Linked DNA regions of Daphnia pulex. The protein of the gene in region 2 interacts with the protein of the main gene of each other region in a biochemical or structural test. Links are inferred from orthologs where the notes say so. Each region holds a gene or a part of one and is shown on either strand. Other genes may lie near its edges.

The links.
Region 1: the proteins of cell division cycle protein 27 homolog (region 2) and anaphase-promoting complex subunit 4-like form a complex in vitro, tested with the Homo sapiens proteins (2 studies listed by BioGRID). The link is inferred for Daphnia pulex from reciprocal best matches to the Homo sapiens genes CDC27 and ANAPC4.

Annotation. Positions count from the first base shown.
Region 1 is NC_060021.1:8,253,687-8,258,164, forward strand, and holds the start of anaphase-promoting complex subunit 4-like, read left to right. Parts: upstream 1-1,609; 5' UTR 1,610-1,862; coding exon 1,863-1,977; intron 1,978-2,055; coding exon 2,056-4,203; intron 4,204-4,225; exon of another isoform or gene 4,226-4,286; coding exon 4,287-4,351; 3' UTR 4,352-4,387; coding exon of another isoform or gene 4,388-4,478. Other genes in the region: condensin-2 complex subunit H2-like, read right to left, coding at 4,388-4,478. UniProt on the Homo sapiens protein: Component of the anaphase promoting complex/cyclosome (APC/C), a cell cycle-regulated E3 ubiquitin ligase that controls progression through mitosis and the G1 phase of the cell cycle.
Region 2 is NC_060018.1:4,689,319-4,693,745, forward strand, and holds the start of cell division cycle protein 27 homolog, read right to left. Parts: upstream 2,925-4,427; 5' UTR 2,726-2,924; coding exon 2,702-2,725; intron 2,568-2,701; coding exon 2,492-2,567; intron 2,431-2,491; coding exon 2,283-2,430; intron 2,226-2,282; coding exon 1,785-2,225; intron 1,695-1,784; coding exon 1,515-1,694; intron 1,459-1,514; coding exon 1,332-1,458; intron 1,258-1,331; coding exon 1,115-1,257; intron 1,047-1,114; coding exon 600-1,046; intron 533-599; coding exon 179-532; intron 118-178; coding exon 1-117. Other genes in the region: MPN domain-containing protein-like, read left to right, coding at 3,390-3,542, 3,612-3,761, 3,841-3,987, 4,060-4,283, 4,360-4,427. UniProt on the Homo sapiens protein: Component of the anaphase promoting complex/cyclosome (APC/C), a cell cycle-regulated E3 ubiquitin ligase that controls progression through mitosis and the G1 phase of the cell cycle.

The DNA.
Region 1 (4,478 bases), on a different chromosome or scaffold from region 2:
CTTGGACAAAAAGGGTTCCATTAAGGATATCTACGTAGGCACATTAGATCGATCATGCAATACATTGACGGCGGTACTATGTTCTATTTTTAAACATTGATTTTTCTTTTAAAAACAGGCAAAGGCACATCAAAAATGAAAATGCGGAAAAGAAAAGGGGATAGAAAATTGATATTATTCCGCCTACGCTTTCCTTTCCACGTTTTCTCTTCTGTTTGTCCTTGTGTTGAATAGTCTGTGCTGTTTGCTTATCTGGTGAATGGAAAGGAGAATTACGCGATTGCCGTTGAATTGATGAGTGTCGGCCTGCATCAAGAAACGCGCGATTCAAGCGTCTCACATTCGGTCAAAGCGAAACCAATGATCTAATCTCGGCCCGACAGTCATGTATACAAACGGTCATGTCAAATAACGGAAAAATCACTGCCAGACTAAAAATAGGAACTAGTAAAGACAACAAATCCGAATCGCCTAAAAAAAAGAATGTTGGAATAATATTCAATCTCTGTTGAATATAGGATGAAGCTTGCTTGTTGGCTAGGCACGGATGAACTCTCCTTTCTCCTATTATTTCGAGTCTATATCGACGGTGGTTGCTATGCATTACCCCGCCGTTCGCAGTGTCCCCCCGGAGTCACCTCAAACCGACCAGAACGTTGGTGGTCCCGCTAGACTGCTGCATTGAATACAAATAAGATCCAACTCCATAATCGTGCCTTTTTTTCCAGTCTCTAGAGTCCAACGAATAACGAGCACTGATACGCATAATCCACAATCATTGAACTGTGTGAACAGGAGAACGTCAGCAAGCAAAAGAAAGTAGTTGTGTGGAAATCGAAGTTCTTGTTGCTCCTCATCCTCTTCAGGAGCACTATATAGGCTAGGTACTGGTACAATATACATTTAGAGAAGATGATTTTTCTTATTTGGATATCGACTTTTTCTTTCTCCCATCTGACTACGTGTTTTTTTTTATTTCGTTTACAAGTTGCTACGAAAACACAATCGTCTAGACGTAAAAGCACAAATTCGCTGATAACGAATAAATAATGAATCAATGTTGTGCCACTCCGAAGGAGCAGAAGTGTTCCCCCCGCGCGTGAGAGCTTCTGCACATTGCACGAAATGGGAGACCCCGTCAACGCCCACACGTTTTCCTAAGGCTAAGTGCGGTAAAATATTAGGCAACTGCTACTGTATATAGCAGCATGACGTTTTATTATTATCAACGACCGGCGACAAGACAAGCAGAAAACAGAGCAAACTCTCATGAAGGTAAATAATCGTGTCGCAAAGGGAGTTCGTTATTTTCCGATCGATTTCTTTAGCACCCGCGAACGCACGGGAGCGATGCTTCGCTTAATCCTCGATGCCTAAGAATAGCGCTCATTTTTTACGTGGTGAGGTTATCAACTGGGTTTCTGTTTGGCCAAGAGATTATCCTATTTGCCAGAAACCCGAATTCAATTTCGCATCCATTTACGGATAGACGAGCTTATGCTTGTTGAAAAGATGCGGCGGCAAATGCCTTAAAAAAATAAATTTGGGGAGACATTCTATCACACTGTGTGGCTATTTATTCAGTTAACGAACTACAGCCATGGACGTCAAGAGCCATGCGATACAATTGGCCTCCAGTGGTGACTGAAATAAAAAGCGAATAACGTTGAACACTTGAAGGTAACACGTAATAAAAAGGTAGAATTCAAATCTGAATGTTTCCAGGCAGTTTAAAAATCGACCGCTAGATGTACTCAAGTTGCCTAGAGAAGAAACCGAAAAAAAGTTCGAAAAGTTGTAAATACATGTTCCTTAATTTCTGTCTAATCGAGATTGTCGTGTAAAAACACAATCAGCTTAAAATGGTGTCGTGTATGATGAGACAGAGTGACGAAAAACACATTCTTGGAACTGCGTCAACAGAAATCCTTTTGTGGTCTTCCAGACGAGATCTGATTGCCGTCTCAAACAGCTCTGGTGAAAACTTGCAATCCTTCTTTTTCCCATTGTGTTACTATGATAATAAAATTTGTTTTGTATGTTATTTTCTTGTAGGTGAGGTTTTTCTGAGAAGGTTGTCATGGAGCAAAGTTTGGAAGCTTTCTAAAAGAGGTGATGGTGTCAAAGTCACAGCGATCGTTTGGAGACCAGACAGTGTGATACTAGCTGTAGGATACAGTTCTGGGCATGTGGTTCTAGTTGACGTTGAATCTGGAGAAGTAGTACACACATTCAACCCATGTGAGGAACCCATCACAGCTCTTTCCTGGGAAAACTGCAGCACAAGTGTGAAAGAAGAGGCAGACAATTTTTTGCTGCCAGAACTGCTGCCTCAACCATTGAAAGTTAACTCTTCAAAGCTAGATGCTGGGTCAGCACTTGATGGCGACAAAGGATTGAAACATGAAGAATTACTGAGCATTTTGTGGATTGGACTAAAGAATGGGTTAGTTTACGGATTCGCCTTTGGACTCTTTCCTTGCTGCCTTCTAAAACTTTCAGAAATGAGTGGTGGGAGCGATTCAATCGGACCTGTACGAAGTGTTTTCCCGAATGGTGATCACAGCCAACTGTGTTTACTAGCCGATGTTCGTGCCGGATCCTCAGAAGTTTTACTCATGACTGTGGAAACCCCACTCATAACTCATTGTTTGAAAGAGTTGTACGGTCTAGGATTTCTCTATCGGCAGATAACTGGCCTCATGGACTGCCTAATCAGTGCTCAGAAAGCTCTACAAGAAGCCTGGGAGGATGCACTAGTCGACCTCGAATCGAAAATGGTTCGCTATGAAAGCAACGACGGCAAGAGTAGCTTATCTGTCGACTTGATGGAGCTCCTGATGTTTGGCCACGCCGGGATCAAGCTGGAGAAATTTCTTGTTACCGATTTGACTGACAAAGGATTGAAACGAATCGGCCAAGCCGTAGAGTTATCCTATAGCAACATGCAGAAACTGCTCATCAAACACATCGTGTGTGCCAACTACCAACTGTCGCACTATTTGACACAACTTTGCGGGCTGGCCAAACAAGAAGATCGTTTCTCATGCCTCGGCCTCCAAGTCAATTCGTGTTTAGCTGCATACCGGGCGGCCGGCTCTTTTACCGCCAAAACCGCTGAGCTTCAACAGGTGATCGATGGTTCTGTCAAGTACCTCAAGACATTCTTCCGCTGGCTTTACGTTACCATCTTGCGCCTCTCGGACGAGCCTATCCCACCCGAGCTTGCCACCAGTACCCAGCAAGATGTACGGTTTATCGCCAACTTCCTCGCCAAAGATTTTGAGACCGATGGACAAGTACGTCTGGATCGTATTGGGCAATATTTGAGGAATGAGCCGTTGACTTTTGTTGCCAGCTCTAAAACTAGACCCTGGGACATGTTGATAGAAGCTTGTCCATCTATTGCGAATCTTCAGGACTCGGACTTATTTCAACCCCGTGCTGAACGCTCTCTTGCTCAAGAGTTCGCCCATTTGGAACATCAGGTCAAAGCCAGTTTCGAAGCTATCCCTTCAGCTGTTGGACAGACTGCGTCGTTGCCGTTTATCACCGACCTGACGTTAGATTGTCCTTCGGACAGTCTGGACAAGATCAGAATCACAACACGATCCATCAACCAACCAAAAGATCGGTGTAATCTTCTTGGCTTGACAAATTCGACCACTCATTCTTCAGGATTTTACCTGTTTGAATTCGCCTCCGAGAAGGAACGTAAGAACTTGACTCGAGCAGCATTCTTCTCCTTTGGCAAGTGCGACCATCTACCTCCTGGCGAATATAAAATAGCTGATCTGCAGTTCTATAACAACGAGATTATGTCAGTTTTGCTTTCGATCGAACGCAGCACGAATAGCATCTTCGTACAACTCAGTCTATGTCTGTTACGCGAACATTTGGCTCCCGTTGTGTCACGGCGAGGACCTTTTAACTCGTCCTTCCATTCAGACGTTTTCGTTTCATCAGTTCTCAGCCAAGGCAATCTTCGATCAGTGGATGTCAATACCTTTATTGAAGCAAGCTCGTTTCGTGTCTTAAACGACTTTCAGGCTACTACCCTCGGTCTATCGTCCAGTCGAAAGGTTGCCGCTATCTTTTCTTCGTCAAAAAGGAAGGTTCGCATATTTGACATGGAAGTTGAAGAGGAAGAAGACGTCGAAGACGAGGATCAGGACATTGAGGATGTTTCAGACTTATCGCACGGTACGTAAAAGTGAAAACCTGGTTAACTTTCAAATTGTTTATTATTAACAAGGTATGTTAATGGAATGGCATTTTTATCGCAGATATATCAAAAGATGGAGGAAATCAAAAGGATATCAGCGACGTGGATATGGCCGTCTCTCCCTGATGGACTATTAGGACCAAACATCTTGCTGACAGTTCATCAGATGAAATCGTCCATGTGTTCGTGATGCCTCTCTCGAGATAGGAGTTTTAGTTCCACTCCATCGAGAGTTAAAGCATCTTGAAGTTGA
Region 2 (4,427 bases):
ATGGCGACGTGGCATTTTAGCACTGGACTGTTTTTATTGATATCCAGTGCCTTCTTGAAGTAAAATTCTGCCATCGAATAGCGCTCTTGTTTGTAGTAAATTATTCCCATACCGTACCTTTTCACAAACAAAAAGTTAGAACAAATCAATTAATGCTGCTTTGTTAAAGAAGGTTTACCATCCGTTATAATGAATAGGATCAACTCTCACAGCATTTTTAAAGCAATCCATGGCTTTCTCCGTTTCTTCGAGGGCAAGATACTGATGACCCAAAAGAGTGTATGCATAAGCAAATTTAGGATCAACTTGGATTGCTCGTTGGAAAAACTTTAGAGCTTGTTCGCGATCTTTCTGCAAATCCAAGCAATTTCCGGCACAACACCAAGTCGCAGCTGACATTTTGTCTTGTTCCAGCATGTCTTGTGCTAATGCCGAGAGTGACACTTCTTGCTGCAGATGCCAGAGAGCAGTACTATAATACTCCATCAGATCAGTGCGATATGGCTCCATTTCACGCACTTCTTGAAACAACCTTAATAATTAAAAAATATCTGTCAATTTCCTGTCAAACTGTTACACAAGATAAAAGTAAAACTAACCTAGTAGCTTGCTTGTAGTCTGCCAGTTCAAAGTAAGCTTTAGCCATAAGAGAGAGGACCCAGCTTGATCTTTTGTGGCGTGCGGAGAGCCATTCTATTGTGTCAATCGCTTGACGAGACTCATATGAAGTCAGGTGTGAAAATGCTTTGCCTACAATCCGAAGAAGAGACATAAGTCCTTCAGCTGACTGCTTTTGCATTTGGACTGCCTCTTGAATCAAATTTGATGGTGGAGTCTGCACCGAAGTTAAATGAGTAGGTAGGGTAGCTTGTTTCTCATCCTCTCTATCCATTTTTCCTACTAGCTCTGGAAAATCGCTAATAGGTGCTAATCCGCTTTCCGGGGTATCACCTTTAGTAAGTTTGGATTTGCTACGCTTCAGTGGCAACTTGGGCACAACAAAACGAGAGCTACTTTTGTTATTCTCCTTAACGGAATTGTTCGAACTGTGATCAAAATAGAATACGTTAATTAATAATATACGAATTTATATATACACAAATGTTACTGAAACCTGTAAAGTCGTGTACTTCTCCTCACGTTAGCGGCTGGGGGTGAAGACAATGTCGGTGTAGCTGTATTTCCGGATTGGCAGAAAACTCCCATACGTGAAGGCGCGCTTGGAGCAGTGCTAGCTGCTTCACGACGACCACCCAACTAAAAACAGCATAAGCATTTGGAGAGATTATGAAACACTCTATATTATTTGTTTAAAAGGAAAAAAATCATACCCGTTTAGGCATTATCTTTGCTTCTTTTGTTTCAGAGACCGGTGGGGCTAGCGAGGGACACAAATAGACCATCGAACTTTGAGAAGCATCGCTTGCTGAAGACATATCCAAAGGTATGATGCCAAAACTAAATTACGTAAATTAAATAAAGTGTCATCAAGTGAATGGAAACTTAAATTATACTTGGGGGACATGGGAGACAGCGCTTGACCGGCTTTAAAGACTGATCGAAGCCGGAACGACCGTGCTCTGGAACGTGTTGGAGCCATGGTACTCGTCAACGGTATAGAGGGAATCATTTGATCATCTGGTGTCAAATTAGGTATATTGTGATGAATAAGAGGCACACATGGTAGGGGAGTGCTAGAAATATAGTAAAATACACAAGTTGTGTAAAGAAATGGTGATTAAATCTCAAAATAATTTGTGTTTTAAATAATATGCCATGTTTACCTTGTGTTTACTATAACATCAGCTGCAGGGACTTGAAGTATAGGAGTGGAGATTTGGTCAACAGACATTGGTTCATGAGGATGTACTTTAGTGGTTGCATCATGTGATTGATTGATCTGAGCAGTGATCAATGAAGCTATTGGGTTTGTTCCATGACAATGAGAGAAATTATCCAATCCCTCTAACTGAAAGACATCTTCTGCATCTGGTTTTTCACCAAGCCGACAAAGAAGCTCAAAAGCAGCCCACAGGAATGGATTAAGCTTAAGAGCTCTGTTGAGTACTTCTATAGCTTTGAACTTTCGTTCTGTCTGCATGTAAACTTGACCCAACAAAACTAGGGCAAAAGCAGCAGCATCTCCAAATTCAGTCACAACATCATCCAAAGATTTTTGTTTGAAAATATTTCCACCCATCAATGTTCCTTCTGCTTCAGCAAGCCTAAAAAAAAACACATTCTTTAGATTTTAATTATTTTCAATGAGAATAACCACATACTTATTCAGATCTAAACAACATTTGGCTAACAGATATTGACATTGTGGCGACTGAGTTCCTTTTGATTGCAGTAAACTTCTTGCTTGATTCGCTTTTCCTGACCGATAGTAGCAAGTGGCCAGAAGATACAAGCTTTCCTCATTATTAACTGAAAGAAACATAAGATTTATGGAAAAATAACCTTTACAAATTAAGTATACACATAATACTTTCATCCTGAAGTTTCTCAGCAAGAAAAGTAGCATTCCAATAGTTGTAGTGATTAAGACAATGCCAGATAGCCGCCTGCATTTTAGAAAAATTTAACCATTATTGAAAATGAACCAAAAACTGGCATACAAAGAAACCCCCTTCATTGTACACCCTAAATATATGCAATTTTTAGATCACTAAACATCATTGATTAACATGTTACTAACCTGGACAGGTTCTTGTACCAACATGTTGACTAGTAATGAGTTAACATATGAAATCTATGAAGATATACAATCAAGTTTGAATTCCCATGGACGGAAATCAATTTAAGTCAAAATAATTCCACCAAATTGCCGTCGGAGCTTACGTTTTAATGTAACACAAAGTTTTTTTTGCCCCTTCCTCTTTTTAACCAAACCGTTTCGAGTATCGCTGTATCGCCTTCACTAAGTATCGATCAATCTACGATATTCGATGAATTGATTCAAATCGTGATGCTTCAGTTTTGACATTTTTTGACATTTCAACGGTCAGTTTTATCAATCTTATTATTAAACCGCACTTGGACAATTTGCTTTCGAAATTGTCAACAAGTTATTTATTCAGGTAAATTTAAGTGTTGCAATGTATTAACTACTGTCATTTGGCCTAGATTGTTCGAAATAACGTGGTTGTAATTGTAATTATGGTACTGGAATAGGTAAATCAGACGTTTTTTTAATAACAATTAATAAAAAAGGCGCGTAATTCTAAAATATGAATTTTTAGTTAAGTGTTTTTTAGTTCTTCTAATAGTCCTTTTTTCAATTAATCTACTTCAAATAAACAAATATTTTTCAAATTTAATTCTTTTTAGTTGTAAACCTTTTGTTTAGCAATATTAAAGCTGTGTTCTTAATACAGGGCATAAGCATGATTGAAGCATCAGAAGACTCAAGTATTAGTGATCAAGCAGATCCTCAAGAACAACAAAAGATCACATCAGTTAGTGTTGAACACACAAATGAGCAATGTAACATGTCTGAAACCCACAATGCAACATTAGATCCTGAAATGGAAGGAGAGGTAATTAATTAATAATACTTTGTGCTATTAAAATTCCAATGAATAACAATTTTATGACAAAAATTACAGGATAACATGGATGGCAATGAAGATGAAGAACTGAATGAGAAAAAGTCCAAAACTGCTGGTGGATTTACTGGTAGAGGAGTCACATTGCAAATGTTACTTGAAGATAACATCCTTCAACCAAAAGAAGGTGCTATGTCACTAGAGTACATGGTAAACATTATACGATATTTCTTTTAGATTTCTTATCTTCCAAGTTTAAAACTTCTATTCCCTATGTGAATTTATTTAGGGACAAAAATTTAATGGGGACTTACTGGCAGATGGAAAAATTTTTTCTGCTGAAGTTCAAGAAGTCTTTAGTTCACCCTCGGCGTGGGCCTTGCGCTGCAAAAAAATTGTTAATCCCGAACAGAAATATGGTTGTGGTTGGTCATCAGTAAGCATAAAATATGTTTAAATTCTCGTTATCAAGTTCAGTAAATTTAGTTCAGATTTTTAAATGATGTAGGTACGATATTGTGGCAGGCCTTTGGATGTATATAAAAACCAATGGATGCGTAAACGACGTTTAGAACAGGTTAGCGACAACTCGACTCCTGATGATTGTAATTTGTCCACTAATGAGCCTGTACTGCTGGAACCTGAACCAGTAATTCAAATGAGTATGAAACAAACTGTCGGTGATCGACAAATTATAAAGCACGAAACGCTAGGAAACAGGACAAGTATCGAGTAAGTAGACAAAACAATTATTTTAAGTTTGGAGTTTGTTTCTAGTTTCTATTTCTTATTGTCGTTTCGTTACCAGGGATCCAAATTTGTTAGTTGAAGCCATATCGTTCGCAAATATAGGGAAACTTCAACCTTTTCTAATAT